Linked DNA regions of Arabidopsis thaliana. The protein of the gene in region 1 interacts with the protein of each later gene in a biochemical or structural test. Each region holds a gene or a part of one and is shown in the gene's direction. Other genes may lie near its edges. The genes, in order: CHR1, MBD02 and MBD5.

Region 1 (8,050 bases):
AGGAAACAAATTAATATTTGTTGCGAAAATAATGTTATTATTTTATCATACGAAATCCTAGAGAAAATGGTGGCAAAAGAGGCAAAGACTAAACTAATGAATTTAAAATATGAAAATGATGGAATGACTGGTTTACCAATATTACAGTATATTGTAATTTTATAAAAACGAATCCTGAAGAAGAGGGCAAACCCCAAGACCACGCAAATCAGTCTACAAATATGAAAATTTCCAATAACTAGAAAAACATGTGCATTTATCTTTTTCCATCATTCGGATTTTTACAATGGAAATTTTGACCACTGAGCGCAAGTGTTATAGTATTTTATTATTATCCAATATTAATATCATTATTCGGATCCATGCATTCTATATAACTATGTCCACCATCTTACTTGTGTCTATGTTGCAACTTCAACGTCGTATATATATAGGGATTGTTGTCACGAATACAATGCTAATTAAGGAAGATTGTGACTTCTCGGAAAATTTAGAACTAATTAAGAGTGGAACTAAAATGCCAATGAAAATAGCCTAAATCAAAGGAGAACCACAAATATAAATTGGAAGACCTTAAAAAACAATTAAACGAGGACGAAACAAATTTTGGAATCATCAATTATACGAAAAAAAGAAGAAAGAAAAAAGAGGTTTCATGAATCACAGTAGTGCTGACAATCTTCGAACCATTTGTGGGTTTCATACAATCGATCACCAATAGAACAAAAGAGAAACAGAGGAACAGAAAGAATAGAAGGAGTGGGAAGTGTATGAGGAAGCTGTGTCCGAACATAGACAAAGACGATGGTCTGGAGACGGTGTTGGAAGTTCCGATACCGGAGGAGATGTTTTCCGGTATGGGCAACAACGTTGCACTTAGGTGGCAAAATATGATGACGTGGATGAAAGCTCAAACGTCTGATAAATGGTCGCAACCGCTTATCGCCGCTCGTATCAACGAGCTCCGGTTCCTTCTCTACCTCGTTGGCTCGCCTCTTATACCTCTCCAGGTTCAAGTCGGTCACTCTGTTCATAAGCCCGTCAAAGATTGCTCCATTGTAAGTCATTCAAAATCAATCCTTATGAAAACATAACAAAGATGTTGAAAATATGATTCCTCTTTTTTTTTTCTTTTTTTCTTTTATGATCAAAACCCAAAAAAGTCATTACCCTGCTTCGTAAGTATTCAACATAAAGTTGTTAATCCATGTGTTGTACTCTGCAAGTCTGCATTACATTATTCATCGTACACAGAGTCATCAACTTCAGTTTCATTGTTTTTTTGCTTATGAATTACGATTGCAGCAAGCTTCAACGGCGAAATACATTGTACAGCAGTACATAGCAGCGACGGGAGGACCACAGGCGTTAAACGCCGTGAACAGCATGTGCGTCACGGGACAAGTGAAGATGACGGCGTCGGAGTTTCATCAAGGAGATGATTCGGGCGTTAATCTAAAGAGCAACGACGAAATGGGTGGTTTCGTTTTATGGCAAAAGGATCCAGATCTTTGGTGTTTGGAGCTCGTCGTCTCCGGTTGCAAAGTGATATGTGGAAGCAACGGTCGGCTTTCATGGCGACATTCCTCTAACCAGCAAACTCCGGCGTCTACCGGAACGCCAAGACCTCTCCGCCGGTTTTTACAGGTCCAATCCGGTTATTGATTTTTTTTTTGATGTAATGTCCGGTTCTCAAAATGTTGAACCGGTGGTTTATTTATTGTTTGAGCAGGGGTTAGATCCTCGTTCGACGGCGAATCTGTTTCTTGACGCAACGTGTATCGGAGAGAAGATAATCAACGGTGAGGATTGCTTTATCTTGAAACTGGAGACGAGTCCGGCGGTTCGAGAAGCTCAAAGCGGTCCGAATTTTGAGATAATTCATCACACGATATGGGGTTATTTTAGTCAAAGATCGGGACTTTTGATTCAGTTCGAAGATTCGCGGCTTTTGAGAATGAGGACCAAGGAAGACGAAGATGTCTTCTGGGAGACTAGTGCTGAGTCGGTGATGGATGATTACCGATACGTTGACAATGTGAACATCGCTCACGGCGGGAAAACATCGGTCACGGTTTTCCGGTACGGTGAAGCGTCGGCGAATCATCGGAGACAGATGACGGAGAAGTGGAGGATAGAAGAAGTTGATTTTAATGTTTGGGGTCTCTCCGTTGATCATTTTCTTCCTCCGGCCAATTTGCAGATCGAAAAATGATTTAGCTTTTTATTAAAAATATTGTTATTCGTTTTTAGCCGATATCATAACTTTTTGAGATACATTATCAACACACTCGTGCAACTGAGATATTCTTGACACAATTTTTGCATTTGAAATTGGCAATTTTGTACTACTCATATAGTTTGAAGCTTCAATTCACTACAAAGGTTATTACTAATTGTGTCGACAAATCCAGCAGATTTAATAATGCCCATTCCATTAAATGTTTTTTAGTTTAATAATAGGATGATCATATGACCAAAATCGTAAATAAGGGTTAGGGGTAAACCTGTCATTTCAAGCTTCCCGCCCATGGGCGCTACTCCCAATTTAATAAAAAATAAGAAAATAGGCGTAAATATGAGAGTGTGTTTTTTCAATATACCCTCGGTTTTGAATTTGCTCTCAAAAGCGACGGAGACGACTGTTTGGCTCGGTGATTTCTCCCGCCGTTTGGGTTTTTCTTACCGGAATTTCCTTCTCCTTCGATGGTTAGTCTGCGCTCCAGAAAAGTTATTCCGTAAGTCCCTCCACCTTTCCTTTTCATTTCGTTATTTCCGGCGATTTTCTAGGTCCTTAACGCTCTCGAAATCGCTCGCTGTTCTTGGTGGTTTTTGGTTCCCTCTCTGCGTAATTTTGTTTGTCGTGTTTTTGGATTATATTCTCTGACTATTGGTCTCACTGTTGATTTATCATTTCTCGATTTTGGATTTTTGGACTCTTAGGGCTTCGGAAATGGTCAGCGACGGGAAAACGGAGAAAGATGCGTCTGGTGATTCACCCACTTCTGTTCTCAACGAAGAGGTTTGTTCTATGTTCTACTATTTTGCCTTCGTAGTGTGGTTGCTTTGTGAAACTTTGTGTGTTACTCTTTGTTTCTTTAAATCTGGGGTGTTCTGTAAATGGGTCCTTTTTGGTCCTTTTTTTCTGAATGTGAAGGAAAACTGTGAGGAGAAAAGTGTTACTGTTGTAGAGGAAGAGATACTTCTAGCCAAAAATGGAGATTCTTCTCTTATTTCTGAAGCCATGGCTCAGGAGGAAGAGCAGCTGCTCAAACTTCGGGAAGATGAAGAGAAAGCTAACAATGCTGGATCTGCTGTTGCTCCTAATCTGAATGAAACTCAGTTTACTAAACTTGATGAGCTCTTGACGCAAACTCAGCTCTACTCTGAGTTTCTCCTTGAGAAAATGGAGGATATCACAATTGTAATCTTCTTTATTTCTTTCTTCTTTGTGGTTTCTCACTTTTCGAATGGGAGTCATTATTCTTAGTTTGAACAACTTGTGGGTGAAATTTGTTTTGCTAGAATGGGATAGAAAGTGAGAGCCAAAAAGCTGAGCCCGAGAAGACTGGTCGTGGACGCAAAAGAAAGGCTGCTTCTCAGTACAACAATGTTGGTTCCATTTATATAATTTTCAACTACTATGCATGATCTTGTATATATTGTTTTTTCTGCTTGTTTGAGAAAGTAACTTACTTGGATGCTTTTTTCTTCAATCAGACTAAGGCTAAGAGAGCGGTTGCTGCTATGATTTCAAGATCTAAAGAAGATGGTGAGACCATCAACTCAGATCTGACAGAGGAAGAAACAGTCATCAAACTGCAGAATGAACTTTGTCCTCTTCTCACTGGTGGACAGTTAAAGTCTTATCAGCTTAAAGGTGTCAAATGGCTAATATCATTGTGGCAGAATGGTTTGAATGGAATATTAGCTGATCAAATGGGACTTGGAAAGACGATTCAAACGATCGGTTTCTTATCACATCTGAAAGGGAATGGGTTGGATGGTCCATATCTAGTCATTGCTCCACTGTCTACACTTTCAAATTGGTTCAATGAGATTGCTAGGTACTCTCATGGCCATATGTGTTTGTATAGATCCAATGCTTTGGGGTTTCTGTTGAAAGTTTTCTTACCTTTTCCATTAGGTTCACGCCTTCCATCAATGCAATCATCTACCATGGGGATAAAAATCAAAGGGATGAGCTCAGGAGGAAGCACATGCCTAAAACTGTTGGTCCCAAGTTCCCTATAGTTATTACTTCTTATGAGGTTGCCATGAATGATGCTAAAAGAATTCTGCGGCACTATCCATGGAAATATGTTGTGATTGATGAGGTAAATTCCGAGATTGGTCAATGTACTAGGCTTTGAAGATCAAGATGATCTCTCTAACTGATAATTTTGTTCTTGTATATTATAGGGCCACAGGTTGAAAAACCACAAGTGTAAATTGTTGAGGGAACTAAAACACTTGAAGATGGATAACAAACTTCTGCTGACAGGAACACCTCTGCAAAATAATCTTTCTGAGCTTTGGTCTTTGTTAAATTTTATTCTGCCTGACATCTTTACATCACATGATGAATTTGAATCATGGTACAAACATGGTCCTTTTCTACTATTATCCCTAACTAGTCTTCTTTTTTTTTTTTTTTTTGTTAACACTGGTGGCAGCTTTTTGACATTTATTCCTTTCTTAGTATCTAACTGATAGATGAGTCTCTACAGGTTTGATTTTTCTGAAAAGAACAAAAACGAAGCAACCAAGGAAGAAGAAGAGAAAAGAAGAGCTCAAGTATGTACAATTATATCAATTTTCCTTTATTTCTTTGATTGTATTTATGTCTTATGCTAAGGGTACATCTTGTCTAGGTTGTTTCCAAACTTCATGGTATACTACGACCATTCATCCTTCGAAGAATGAAATGTGATGTTGAGCTCTCACTTCCACGGAAAAAGGAGATTATAATGTATGCTACAATGACTGATCATCAGAAAAAGTTCCAGGAACATCTGGTGAATAACACGTTGGAAGCACATCTTGGAGAGAATGCCATCCGAGGTACATGATCTATTTTTTTTTTTTAATACTTTGTTTAATTATGTCATTTTCTGCATTGATTTGTTCATCCCCTATACTTCAGGTCAAGGCTGGAAGGGAAAGCTTAACAACCTGGTCATTCAACTTCGAAAGAACTGCAACCATCCTGACCTTCTCCAGGGGCAAATAGATGGTTCATGTATGTCAGTTTCTTTTAAGAAACGTAAGAAAAACTTCTGTCATACTGTTCTGTCTAATTGTTTCATTTCGTGACAGATCTCTACCCTCCTGTTGAAGAGATTGTTGGACAGTGTGGTAAATTCCGCTTATTGGAGAGATTACTTGTTCGGTTATTTGCCAATAATCACAAAGTATGTTTCACAAACCCATGGCTCGTAGCTCATTTCCCTTTGAGAACTTCTCTGATCCATTTGCTGATGACCAGGTCCTTATCTTCTCCCAATGGACGAAACTTTTGGACATTATGGATTACTACTTCAGTGAGAAGGGGTTTGAGGTTTGCAGAATCGATGGCAGTGTGAAGCTGGATGAAAGGAGAAGACAGGTTTCACCTGTGCTTATGCTGCTTTTGCGTTGCTTTTAAGCAATATTCTGACCAAATATTATAACCATAAGGTCTCTCTCTCTCTCTCTTTGCCTTGAAACAGATTAAAGATTTCAGTGATGAGAAGAGCAGCTGTAGTATATTTCTCCTGAGTACCAGAGCTGGAGGACTCGGAATCAATCTTACTGCTGCTGATACATGCATCCTCTATGACAGCGACTGGGTAATCAAATCAATTAATTTATTTTCTTTGAAGGAAAATCTTTCTCTTTCGTGTTGTCTCCAACTGTGTTTTGTCTGATCTCCAGAACCCTCAAATGGACTTGCAAGCCATGGACAGATGCCACAGAATCGGGCAGACGAAACCTGTTCATGTTTATAGGCTTTCCACGGCTCAGTCGATAGAGGTAAAACTCTTTGTTGTTCATATCAATCAATCTTAACTTCAAACCATTGAGATTGTTGCCTCATGAGATTGGTTTATGACATTTGCTCAGACCCGGGTTCTGAAACGAGCGTACAGTAAGCTCAAGCTGGAACATGTGGTTATTGGCCAAGGGCAGTTTCATCAAGAACGTGCCAAGTCTTCAACACCTTTAGAGGTTTTAACTTCTCTTAAAGCTCAATCCTTTTTAGATACACTTATTATCAACAAAATCTCCTATTGACAGCTTGAACCAAACTAACACACAGGAAGAGGACATACTGGCGTTGCTTAAGGAAGATGAAACTGCTGAAGATAAGTTGATACAAACCGATATAAGCGATGCGGATCTTGACAGGTTACTTGACCGGAGTGACCTGACAATTACTGCACCGGGAGAGACACAAGCTGCTGAAGCTTTTCCAGTGAAGGGTCCAGGTTGGGAAGTGGTCCTGCCTAGTTCGGGAGGAATGCTGTCTTCCCTGAACAGTTAGGACACATTAATAAGCCAGGCCTTGAAACCACTTCTGTGTTTTTTTTTTTTTTTTCCGGAACATGATCGGTTACTTTTGGCTGGGAGGATTTAATTATTAGAGGGCTCGGAAGTTTTTGTAAGTTAAAGAACTCACTTAAAACCCTGAAAACATGACAGTTAATGGTGATTAGCTCTCAATGTGATGAAAACAATTGGCCCTCTGATTTTGCTGTTGCGGTAATATTATGACTTGTGTACGTTTATAGTCTTTGTAGTCTGCAATTTTGGCATTGAGCTATTTCTCACGAACTTATGGGATCTTATGTTTTGGATTTGGGATTTGTTAACTTATATGATTAGGCTCAATAGTTTCACAGAATATTAAAAACTTGAGTAGGGTTTAAAAAAGAAGCAAAAAGCTCCGATGCCGGGAATCGAACCCGGGTCTCCTGGGTGAAAGCCAGATATCCTAACCGCTGGACGACATCGGATTTGTTGATGTCTATTCTTGTAAATAGTAAATATTTAGTTTTATCGGTTTTGCATCTAATGGACTAAAACATGAACACGAGACGCCGACAAGAATGAATGGGGCAGGCACCAAACATTTGGGTAAAAGTATGCAGTGGGGTATTATTGACAATTTGACCATTACAAGAGCTAATCTTAGGGGGTTTTAGTTAGTAAAGCAAACCCGGTTTAGGAGTAAATATGGAGTGAGAATAGGGGTAATTAAGGGAATTTAAGAGAAGTCATCATCGTTTTCCATTTTTCTTATTTTAAGCGCCTCGGTGGCTATCTCTCACTCCGTTCGCGTCTTCCTCTTAAAGGAAACCTCCTCTACGCGAAATTCGTATTCTCTCATTTCTTCTACGGAGATTTGCATCGAAGAAACTGACTCGCTTGTGGAATCAACAACAAGACGATGTGGCGCTGCGTCTCTCGTGGCTTTCGAGCTCCTGCTTCAAAGACCTCTTCACTCTTTGATGGCGTCTCTGGATCTCGCTTTTCCAGATTCTTCTCCACTGGTTCTGTATGATCTCTCTTCCTTCTCCTTCCGTTTTGTTTATTTTCTAATTCGATCTTATGTAATTCACGAATCATAGTTTTATCCGCCATTCAAATGCGTTAGTAGTCGAGCAAATTGTTGAAAATCGGGGAAAATTTTGATCGATTTGTTTTGTGGTGTTTATTTTGGTTATCTGTTGAGTAGACCGATACGAGATCCTCTTATACGATAGTGGATCACACTTATGATGCGGTTGTGGTGGGAGCTGGTGGTGCTGGTCTTAGGGCGGCGATTGGGTTATCGGAGCATGGCTTTAACACCGCTTGCATTACTAAGCTTTTCCCCACAAGGTCACATACTGTTGCTGCTCAGGTATTTTTCGTTACTAATCTCCTTATACTGTCGATTTTTAAATATAGTTTTGTTTCTTTTTGATTGAGATTATGTTGTCGAAAAAACTGTCAAGGGTGGTATTAATGCTGCACTGGGAAATATGTCCGAAGATGACTGGAGATGGCACATGTATGACACTGT
Region 2 (5,840 bases), about 13 Mb from region 1:
ATATTGTTGATCGGGTACAACAAAAAACAAAAGGGTGGTCAACTCGATTTCTATCAGAAGCCGGAAAAGAAATCTTAATAAAGACAGTGGCTTTGTCATTACCAGTTTACACAATGAACTGTTTCAAACTTCCAAAGGGGATATGTGATGATATCAACAGATTACTTGCGTCTTACTGGTGGAGTAAAAGCTCGGATAAGAGATCAATGCACTGGATGGCTTGGAAGCGGCTGACCATACCAAAGAATGAAGGCGGGTTAGGATTTAGGGACATTGAATGCTTTAATAAAGCCATGTTAGCAAAACAAGTGTGGCGAATACTTCAAGCACCATCATCCCTGCTCACTCGCCTCTTACGTGGAAGGTACTTTGAAACAACAAATATTCTGAATGCAAGAACCGGAGGAAGCCCTCTTTCATTTGGAGATCCATTCTAGAAGGACGAGACCTCCTGCAGCAAGGACTTCGAATCCTTATAGAAGATGGCAAACAGACAAACATATGGACTGATTCATGGCTTCCAACACACCCACCAAGACCACCTCAAAAACGTGATGCGACGGTCACCAATCATACACAAGTCAAGCACCTAATGCAAGATGGCAGAAACATGTGGAATAAAGAAGTAATAGAAGAACTCTTTGAAGCAGATGAAGCACGATTGATACAAGGTTAAGATTAAGATCACAACCGTCCCCTGATGTACTAGGCTGGAACTACACAAAGCATGGGGAATACACATTCAAATCAAGTTATTGGCTCTGTACACATCTACCGAATCAACAACATGATTATGTTCCCCCACCAGGTTTACCCGAGTTTAAGAGAGTAGTATGGAAGCTAGACACGACACCAAAACTAAAGCACTTCATGTGGCGGATAGTAACTCAATCATTGGCGACAGGCGAGGCCTTGACACGACGACATATCATTTCAGATTCACAGTGTAAACGATGTTGTGCAGCTCCTGAAACATTAGAACGCCTATTCTTTGGATGCCATTATGTTCAAGCTATTTGGAGGGGCTCTCCGGTGTCACATACAGCGTTTTTCAATCCACACTTACCTTTTGAAGATAAATTCAGATTAATCCTTCAATGCTGTACTGATACGAGACAAGACCATATCACAAGACAAATACCTTTATGGATGTTGTGGCACATATGGAAGAGCAGGAATTTGTTAGTTTACCAGCGAAAAGGGAGTAATTGGCAAGATGATGTACAAAAAGCGATAACAGACTCATATGAGTGGATTCCTCTGCAGCGAGACACACAACGACGAAGTCTAAATGACAGAAGCGGGCAAGGGTAGCAAAAACCTATTCACGGCTTTATCAAATGCAATTATGACTGCAGTTTCTCAAGGAATGATCTAGCACCAAAGGCTGGTTGGATTTTACGAATTGACACAGGCAGTTATCTACTTGCGGCTCAAGGTACAAGACAACTATGCAACTCAGTGCTAGAAGCGGAACTACAGGCTCTCTTGATGGCAATGCAACATACATGGAGTAGAGGATATCGAAAGATTATATTTGAAGGTGATAATAGGACTGTGGAAAGCTTACTCAATGGGAACACAAGGAATTTTGAACTTCATAACCTCGTCATGGAGATACAACATTGGCGGAAGAAGTTTTCTACTGCCATTATCAAATGGTCTTTCCGGTCAACTAACAAAGCAGCTGATCGATTAGCTAAAGTGGAGTTAGAAAACATTGTTACTTTTGTCTCTCATTCTTATGTACCTCTGTTTCTTGTACAAATCCTCCATAGGATTACACATCATCCCTCTAATAAAGTATATCTGTTAATGTTAAAAAAAAATAAAAAAAAAAGAATCGGTTATTTTCGGGTTTTAAACTTAAAAACCAAAGAAACCAATATCCGAATCGAACCGAACCGTAATAAATTTCGGTTAGTTTCGGAAGAATTTTCAAAAATCCAAAATAACCGAAACCCGAAATAACCGACTCGGTTCGGTTCGGTTTACCCGAAGTCGCAGGCCTAATATTTTATATCAACAATTGACATATATTTTGACCCAAAAAAAAAAAATCAACAATTGACATATATTTGTTTTTATTAAAGTTTAATTTACATATTATGGAAGTCTCAAAATATTTGTTAAACAATGGCAAATATTTGTTAGACATATTTCATCTATTTAGCATGCACAACACGAATCCATATCTAATATTAGAAAGAATTATCCTTTGATTCTTTTTTTCTGAAGGAAATTTTGATTAATGGTAAGATTTGTTTATAAGCCCAAAAGCACAAATATTCTCCTACTTATAGCATGATATATTTTGAAGTGAATGTAAATTAAGAATTATTTTCGTAACAACAAATTTTATATTTATACAAAATAAATTAAATTCAGTTTCTTTCTCTCTTCTCTTTCTCGGTTTCCCCATTTTCTATCTAGACAAAGAGTGTTGTCTGAATTGGCTCTGTCTCAAAAAATGAAATTCTCAAATTAACCACAACGATCTTTAGAGCCTTCTTCGCTCACCGATCTCTGAAACCCTGGTTTGCTCTCGTCCTCTTCGTGTAACGATTCTTCTTCTTGATAAATTTTTAATCTTTGTTTCGGCTTTTCGATGAAATTGTTTTTTTTTTGGATCTCGTCTCTATCAGCTCATGTTCTTCTTTGATTATATGATAATTGTTGTTTCCTTTGCTCTGTTTTATGATTATTGTTGATTTTTGAGATTGAAATGTTCGAGGGTTTCTACTGTTCACTGTTCTTTACACGTATCAATGTTTTCTTGATCATGTTCTCTTATGATGTTAATAGAGAGACTAGTGTTATTGTGATGAATGATTCTTGTTAACTAAATTTGTCATTTTTGTTTTCACTTGACATTCATTTCTCTAACCATTTATTATAGGTAGTTTCTATGAGTATGTCGCAGTCTCGAGCTGTCCAAAGATCGTCTTCACCTAATGAGGATAGAGGTGAGAATCAGTTAGTGGTTTATGACTTGAAAGGAAATGATGATACTGAAGAAGAAGTTCTACCGGTTCAATCTCAGCCTTTGTCATCTAGAACACAGTGTCCCTCTATCGGGGCATTTACGGTTCAGTGTGCAAGTTGTTTCAAATGGAGACTCATGCCTTCAATGCAGAAGTATGAAGAGATTAGGGAACAGCTTCTTGAAAACCCGTTTTTCTGCGATACAGCGCGTGAGTGGAAGCCGGATATTTCTTGTGATGTTCCTGCTGATATCTATCAAGATGGAACTCGTCTTTGGGCTATTGATAAACCGAATATCTCTCGTCCACCCGCTGGCTGGCAACGTTTACTGCGGATTAGAGGTGAAGGAGGTACCAGATTTGCTGATGTGTATGTCGTTCGTTAACTCTTCTCTCATTTATGTTAATATTAGTCTTTCTTCTTTATACCATTGTATTGGCTTTCTTTATCATTCTTTTATCTTGGTTGTTTCAGTTATTATGTTGCTCCGTCTGGAAAGAAGCTTCGATCAACTGTGGAGGTCCAAAAGTTAGTTTCTCTACCACTCCATTTCCACATTTTCGTTTTCACATTTAACAAAGTGTTCCTTACTTTTATGTTTGATGAGGTCTCACTGTATCAGTCTTACCATTTTCGTCAACCAATATATTGAATCAGTAGGAACCTCAAGTATTGTTCTGTGGTCATAACTAGAGTTAGGCACTTATGCAAATTACAGAAATCCTTGCATGTGTTTTGTTTACTAACGAAAATGTACTATGCCAAGAAGTTAGTTAAACTATCATCCTTATTTCCATGATACTTCCCTGCAGCATTTGAGAGTGACAACAATGGTAGGAGAAAAAAGCTTAGTGACTTACCAATTCGTTTAGTGATTACCAAATTGTTTTCAGTGACGTATAGCTAGCTTCTTTACACCCTTATAACCACTATTACTGGTTTGCAGGTACTTGAATGACAACTCCGAATACATTGGAGAAGGGGTGAAACTTTCACAGTTCTCGTTTCAAATCCCGAAACCGCTGCAGGATGACTACGTGAGGAAGCGCCCAGCTCGACTACTGGATTCCATCGATAATACAAACACCCCTGTAGCTAAAGAAGGTGTGTTGCTTATCAAGGCACATAAATATAATTGTGGTTATCTTTTGTATCAAGGCTTTAGATTATTGATGTCATTTTTTCAGTCAAGAGTGTATTTGACGTATACTCGAACCGAACATTGGTGTCTTTAGGGAACTTTATTAACATGAAAACGTCTATGCTTTTACAAGTTTCTAACATTTCGCTTGTCTTGTTATTTTTCAGCTAATCCACTGGCATGGATATCTCCAGATGATCATATATCGTTGCAGCTAGGTACGCCAACCGAGTCTGGACTTAACAATTCACATTACCAACCATCGAAAAAGAAAAAAACATCGACGCTATCAATCTTTGGCTCCAACGACGAACTTGCTGATAGATAATCTAGCTAGACGAGAGTGAACTTATCTCGTCTTCTCTGGTATATAACCCGTCTTCTTTCTTCGTTTTTTGGGTTTGTCTTATCGAAGAAACTGAAAGCATGTGGTTAGCTTGTTTTTTGTGTATACCATCTATTTTGTTTTGCAGTGTAACATACTTTCTATGAAGAAGATGGGTCCTTTTGGTTTTTGCTTCCAAATAACTGGATTTTCATGCTGAAAGTTTTTAAACCTAAAGTTTGATTATTACCAAATTCCATTATCTCACAAATCCACTAGAGGACTGACACAAGAAAGCAGATAAGAATAGATCAGAGTCTGTTTAACTGTAGATGTGCATGTTAAGTTGGAACGTAGTTTATCTCAAAGGATATTTTAACGACATCCAAAAGATAACATTCGAAAGTCAAAACCATCCTAGGGGAGATATGGCTGAAGCTATTAGTTTGGTAAACATACAACAACAAAACTATGCCATATCTCTAATCTGCGCAAAAGGCAGAAACAAAAACTAACAACAAATCTGCCTTCTACTATCCTGCTTCGTGCATTCCCTATTCAGTTTTCCCGTGGTTAAGCCGTATCATCGGAACCAAGTGATGGGAGTGGGAGTAGTACTGACTTGAGGAAGCTGCGGAATCATACAGTTTTGCGCTTGCTGCCACGGATGCAAGCCAAAACCATAGGTGTGCTCTTGCTCTTGCTGCTGTCCTTGCTGAGGGAAAGATAGACTGGTGCTTCCAGTATCCTCTTCTATCTCATTGGATGCATCATCCATTACCACATCCTCACCTGTCTCATCCAACTCAGTAATCTCTAGTGTCCGCGGTTGTTGGAAGGTTCCTATGGACTGTGAGTAAGTAGACTGAGACGGATTCCAGCAAACAACAGCTTGACACTTGTTTAATCTCTCATCTTCATACTGATTATCATCAGCTATCGATACATCGCGAAGAAATCTATCTGCACAAGTGTTAACATTCAGAATTTAGACACAACCGTCTGTATTTAGTCAACATTCTGGATCACAAGTTAAAGGCAAACAAACAAAACGAACCAGAACAAAATCTGACACTAAGACACAGCAAAATCCTCATAATATCTATGATAATTTCCCAGTTAACATGACAATCTGTTCAACATATAAAACTATATGAGCTCATACCATATAAACTAGATTATCTGCACTGTTTACTGAAACTTATGGAGATATCTCAAAATAAAGAAGATACTCTTAACTTATTGAGCTAAGACATTGTTGTGACATAGTAGTTTCTAAAGTTAACTTACAAGCCCTTTAACAATCATAGACTGAAACTTATCTCATTACTAAAGAAAGTTCAAAAGAATCATCACTAATACACTTCAACAACAACGTTATACCTAATC
Region 3 (4,998 bases), on another chromosome or scaffold:
AAAAACATAAGTTTCGAAAACCCGGTTTGGCATCAATGGAGTGCCCTTACCAGAATTCACATGCTTTATAAGGTTCCCATTGTAAGCTGCGGCATAATCTAAACCGACGCCGGTTTGGTTCGGTTCACCAGCTGAAGGCCAACCGGTCTCAGCCACAACAATGTCCACGTCACCGTACCCAAATCGTTTCATTGCGGAGTAAACAGCATCAAGCTGAGCGTCGAACATGTTGGTGTAGTTCAACTTCGTAACCGGGTCAACATATACAACGTCGTTTGTGTTAAAGAGTGCGTAGTTTAACGTTTCAGGTCCGAAACCGAAATATGGATACGGGTTAACCATAAAAGGAGACTTGGTGCGGTTGTGGAAGTCTAGGATTGGAGAGAAGATGGCTTTGTCGTACCCTTTACGGAACTTTCCGGAGCTAGGTGGCTCGGAGGAGCCTGAGAGGATACCGAGCGAGTGAGGCGTCGAGACTAAGATCCTACTGACGTTAGCAAGGTGTAATGCTAACGTAAGCGTCTCCATAGCGGGAAGGAGATGAGTGATGAGGGTTTTGTCGGATGTGGCGACGACTTCGTTTCCGACAGCAATGTAACGGATTGAAGTTGTTAGGAGGAAGGGGAGGAGGTTGTCGGAGAGCCATGAACGTGCGTTGGAAAGCTTGGAAAGAGAAATGATATCGGAGTTTGGGACGGTGACGGTGAGGGAGATTCCTGTAATGCCGGAAAATGCGGCGAGGATGTCGTGGTTTGTGTCGAAGATTTTGACGTGGTTGATTATTGTTTTTGTTTTGATGAAGTTGACGACTTGGTGAGGCGGTGGGAGGTTGTTGGCCACGGTGCCGTAGTTTACGCCGACTTGATATGCAGCGGAGAAGGGAAGGATGAGAGTGAGAATTAGGAAGTAAAGTTGATGAACAACTCTAGATCCCAACATGATCGTGAATGAGTTTATTTTATGACTTCCACGTTTAGCAAAACTTACTAGGAGTTGTTTTTTGGGAGCATGATCGTGTTCGGTTTGATTGTGGAGACGTGAGCGAGTGGCTCCCAAAAAATCACTCACTCCTAGTAAGTTTTGCTAAACGTGGAAGTTTTGCTAAACGTGGAAGTTTTGCTACATAATGTAATAATCATAAATTAATAACATTTGATAATTGAAACCATTAATAAGGATGTAAATAGTTGCAAATTAATTGTATTTGGGGGTGATTGGGAAGGGACTCTCAGACCATCCTCATCGGACAAATTTAAAAGGTGTCTTCAAATTTTAACAGAATAAAAAAAATAGGAAGATGAGAATTAATGCGCTGAATAGGAGTGACATGATGACTTTAATGTCTGTGGAAAAACATTTTTTGATACGGGAAAACACGAATGTGTCACCATGCTATTGGTTGGTGTTATTGTTTTTTATTTTTTCTCTTCATTTGACCAACAATTTTCTCTCTGTTCATTTTATCAATAAATTTCTCTCTCTTCATTTGGCAGTTAAGACATCCAATATACTGATCACCGATGTGGATGCTCTCATAGCTTTAAAGGTGTTTTAAAGTCCTCACAGTTTTTATTTTAACAGTCATGCTTTCTTGACTTTATTTTTTTTTAAAGTTCTCAAAGCCTTGTTTTTATTTGTTCTTTGTTTCCTTTTTTTTTTTAAAGTCACGATTACATGGCTTTCAAACAAATAAATATTAAAACTTTTCTTTTTCTTCTCCCATGATAATTAAAAACTTTCTACAATTTTATATATATTTTTTCACAAATCATTTTTGATTAATTAATTATTATTAATTTTATATTTTCTTTTAAGATCCAATTTACTAATAAATAATTTATTTATTACATGTGCAGTTTATTTGTTGAGAATATTTATTTAAGAATATTTTTTGTATTTTAATTTTATATTATTAATAAAATATATTTGTGTCACTATGTTGAAACATAATTCAATTTTAACATAATTTTATTTACAAAAATATATTTAATAATAGTAAAAATAGTACTCAAGCTTTTACAACTTTATATTACCAATCAGAATTTAACATCTAAAATCTCAACAGTTAAGTCTCTACATCCAAATTTTCTATGGTAAAAGTTTTTAAAGCCAAAACATTTACCGTCATCCTTACCGATCGGCCCATAGTTGTTCAAATAATTTATATCAGTTACACACATTTCGATTTTGATTTCGGTTACAAATATTTTATCCACTCTAATTCACAACAAGAAATTAATTTACCTTAATGGGCCCAAAAGCCCAAAAACTGCAACGTGGCTAATTAAGCCATTCCTCGAGCTCAAACTTTAAAACAGAAACAAAACTTCTAACTTACAAATTGTACTTCTGTCTTTTACTCTGTCTGATTCAGTCAAAAAGAAAGGAATATTAAAATCTCTCAATTTTATATACACTCACTCAATCATACCTTTCTCTGGAGACCTCCACAGGGTTTGTTTCCGGAAATGTCGAACGGCACGGATCAGGCTCAACCACCACCGGAGAACCCGGCTACTCCGGTGGATTCGAAGTCACGGAAACGTGCGACGCCAGGGGATGATAATTGGCTTCCTCCTGATTGGAGAACCGAAATTAGGGTTCGAACCTCTGGCACTAAAGCTGGTACTGTTGATAAGGTGAAAAAATCTCAGCCCTTTCAATTCCTTCGCAGATAGAATCGTCCGTACAAATGGAAATGTTATGTTGTTTGTTGATTTGAATTGGAACTTTTTCTTAGTATTTATGAAATTGGGTATTGAAGTTAGGTTATGATGATCTTATTGGTTTATATTTTAAGGTATTTGGAGACTTTATAACTAGTCTTTAAGTGTAACGTTGCTGTATGTATGCTTGTTGGATGAAGATTGCTCTGTTTAGGATGTTGTAGGTGTGAATATGATAATGCAGTGCTTGATGATGTCTTGTATTTGTAATGTAGTTCTACTACGAACCGATTACGGGTCGTAAGTTCCGGTCCAAGAACGAGGTTTTGTACTATTTGGAACACGGGACGCCTAAAAAGAAGTCCGTCAAGACAGCGGAAAACGGAGACTCACATTCCGAAGTGAGTTTGTTAGTAGACATTACCTTAAGGTTTAAACCCGTGTTTTACCTGAACTGTTGTTGTTTTTGCACATTTTTGTAGCATTCTGAAGGTAGAGGAAGCGCTAGGCGGCAGACAAAATCCAACAAAAAGGTTACTGAGCCACCGCCAAAGCCGTTGAACTTCGATTTTCTGAATGTGCCGGAGAAGGTTACTTGGACTGGGATAAACGGTTCAGAAGAAGCTTGGTTGCCTTTCATTGGGGACTACAAGATTCAAGAATCTGTCAGCCAAGATTGGGACAGAGTATTCACTCTTGTCACCTCCCAAAACGCTGGAAAAACGATGTTCTAGAAGATTGCTGCAGAAACTCACAAATTGTAATAACACGCGCTGCTAGATTATCATATCTACTTAGTATTTACTGATCGTTGGTTGGAATGCAGGTTAATTTTTTAGTAGTGATAGTTTTAGTAACACTTTGATTTGAGTTGTAATGTACTTTCTTAACATTTTCTTAGATAATTTGAAGGCAATGTATGTCTATATTATTGCCTTTGAGAGAATCCGATAGTAACAAAGTTATGAAATCTAAAGTTCGATGTGCGGTACTTCTCTGCTCAGTTCTCTCTGCTTTAAATTGTGAATCATCAGTTATGCATAGGCTCTATCTATCTATGCTTCTCTGCCTTTGTCCTAAATGATATACGGAAGCATACTGACATAATTTGGAATAAGTTCAAGTTATAACAGAACAGTGTGAAAATATGAACCAAAGCGTCTGTAGTCCAACGGTTAGGATAATTGCCTTCCAAGCAATAGACCCGGGTTCGACTCCCGGCAGACGCATTTTTAAATTTTGACATTTTACGCTCGTTGTTTATGAACAGTAAATATTTTCTTTAGATCTTTGTTTAAGAATTTTTTTTCTTTCTAAAATGGCTAAGAACATTGTCGTCAAAGACTATAATTCTTTTCTGTCTTATGCAGTGGATAAAAAAGGGGTTCTTATCGCACTTTTCAGTTATCGTTTGTTTCCTATCAGAAAACAAAATGGGAAAAATTCTCCACCTCAAAATTCGAGGAATTCTAACGGCGTGGAGATGAATAATTACCAAAAGTAACATATACACCCCCGTCGAAAATAACGAGTTTTCAAAAAAGATATTTTCGGTTGATTTGTCGATAATCATCTGCACTACGCTGCGGTATATTTTCAGATTTTTTTATCGTTTAATTTAAATATAATTTTAATTATCTAATCATTCACTCATGTAATAAATAATTATTTTTATTATTAAAATATTTTTTTCAAACAACATTTTCAACAATGCATCATATACACATTTCCTAAACAATGTTCGTCTTAAACCAATTAAATAGAGGGTAATGCTGGGATTCTCGAAACCTAATTAAGAATTTGATGATTAAACTTCTTACATACTCTTTACCCTCGGTGATTTATTATATAGATAAAAATCTGCAAACTATTCAAACTATTAAATAATTCATGACAACTATACACTCATTATTTGAGTTAAGATTACAGAAAAACATCTTCGAGTATGAGAAAACCGATAAAATAATTTTATTGAAAACATATAATAACAAAATAAATTTAGTATTAGTACAATTAAATATGAAAAATTAAATAATAAATACATCATTAATCTATAAATTAGAAGTTGAAGAGCTTACATTAATTATTTAGTGGACATAGGGCAAATGTTAAAGTGATGATGTGTCAATCATATGGAAAGAGTTGGCCAACTTTCATATATATGATTGGAGTGAATCGAATCTACATCATTCATCAACCAAAAAATAATCTAGAAAAATATATATCATAATTTCTAACTAAACTAAACAAAAACGCTCGTTGTTATATTTTAGCTTTTTAAATATAATAAAGCTCGTATTGACAAAGCTAACGGATAAACCCTTATTATTTT

What was found.
Region 2: the proteins of CHR1 (region 1) and MBD02 form a complex in vitro, tested with the Arabidopsis thaliana proteins (one study listed by BioGRID).
Region 3: the proteins of CHR1 (region 1) and MBD5 form a complex in vitro, tested with the Arabidopsis thaliana proteins (one study listed by BioGRID).

Annotation. Positions count from the first base shown.
Region 1 is NC_003076.8:26,646,344-26,654,393, forward strand, and holds CHR1 (chromatin remodeling 1), read left to right. Parts: upstream 1-2,553; 5' UTR 2,554-2,706; coding exon 2,707-2,738; intron 2,739-2,943; coding exon 2,944-3,022; intron 3,023-3,157; coding exon 3,158-3,424; intron 3,425-3,525; coding exon 3,526-3,612; intron 3,613-3,720; coding exon 3,721-4,067; intron 4,068-4,147; coding exon 4,148-4,337; intron 4,338-4,422; coding exon 4,423-4,598; intron 4,599-4,730; coding exon 4,731-4,797; intron 4,798-4,874; coding exon 4,875-5,064; intron 5,065-5,146; coding exon 5,147-5,242; intron 5,243-5,319; coding exon 5,320-5,414; intron 5,415-5,488; coding exon 5,489-5,608; intron 5,609-5,711; coding exon 5,712-5,831; intron 5,832-5,916; coding exon 5,917-6,015; intron 6,016-6,105; coding exon 6,106-6,210; intron 6,211-6,301; coding exon 6,302-6,526; 3' UTR 6,527-6,848; downstream 6,849-8,050. Other genes in the region: AT5G66740 (spindle assembly abnormal protein (DUF620)), read left to right, coding at 771-1,058, 1,306-1,647, 1,733-2,215; SDH1-1 (succinate dehydrogenase 1-1), read left to right, coding at 7,433-7,540, 7,721-7,888, 7,983-8,050. UniProt on the Arabidopsis thaliana protein: ATP-dependent DNA helicase that plays a role in formation, organization, stability and heritability of heterochromatin and thus regulates several physiological traits.
Region 2 is NC_003076.8:13,522,339-13,528,178, reverse strand, and holds MBD02 (methyl-CPG-binding domain protein 02), read left to right. Parts: upstream 1-2,380; 5' UTR 2,381-2,558; exon of another isoform or gene 2,559-2,903; 5' UTR 2,904-2,908; coding exon 2,909-3,354; intron 3,355-3,459; coding exon 3,460-3,513; intron 3,514-3,931; coding exon 3,932-4,089; intron 4,090-4,293; coding exon 4,294-4,454; 3' UTR 4,455-4,776; downstream 4,777-5,840. Other genes in the region: AT5G35320 (DBH-like monooxygenase), read right to left, coding at 5,035-5,414. UniProt on the Arabidopsis thaliana protein: Probable transcriptional regulator.
Region 3 is NC_003074.8:17,145,929-17,150,926, forward strand, and holds MBD5 (methyl-CPG-binding domain protein 5), read left to right. Parts: upstream 1-2,303; 5' UTR 2,304-2,468; coding exon 2,469-2,639; intron 2,640-2,941; coding exon 2,942-3,067; intron 3,068-3,148; coding exon 3,149-3,400; 3' UTR 3,401-3,669; downstream 3,670-4,998. Other genes in the region: AT3G46570 (Glycosyl hydrolase superfamily protein), read right to left, coding at 1-939. UniProt on the Arabidopsis thaliana protein: Transcriptional regulator that binds CpG islands in promoters where the DNA is methylated at position 5 of cytosine within CpG dinucleotides. In addition, binds specifically methylated m(5)CpNpN but not m(5)CpNpG (N is A, T or C).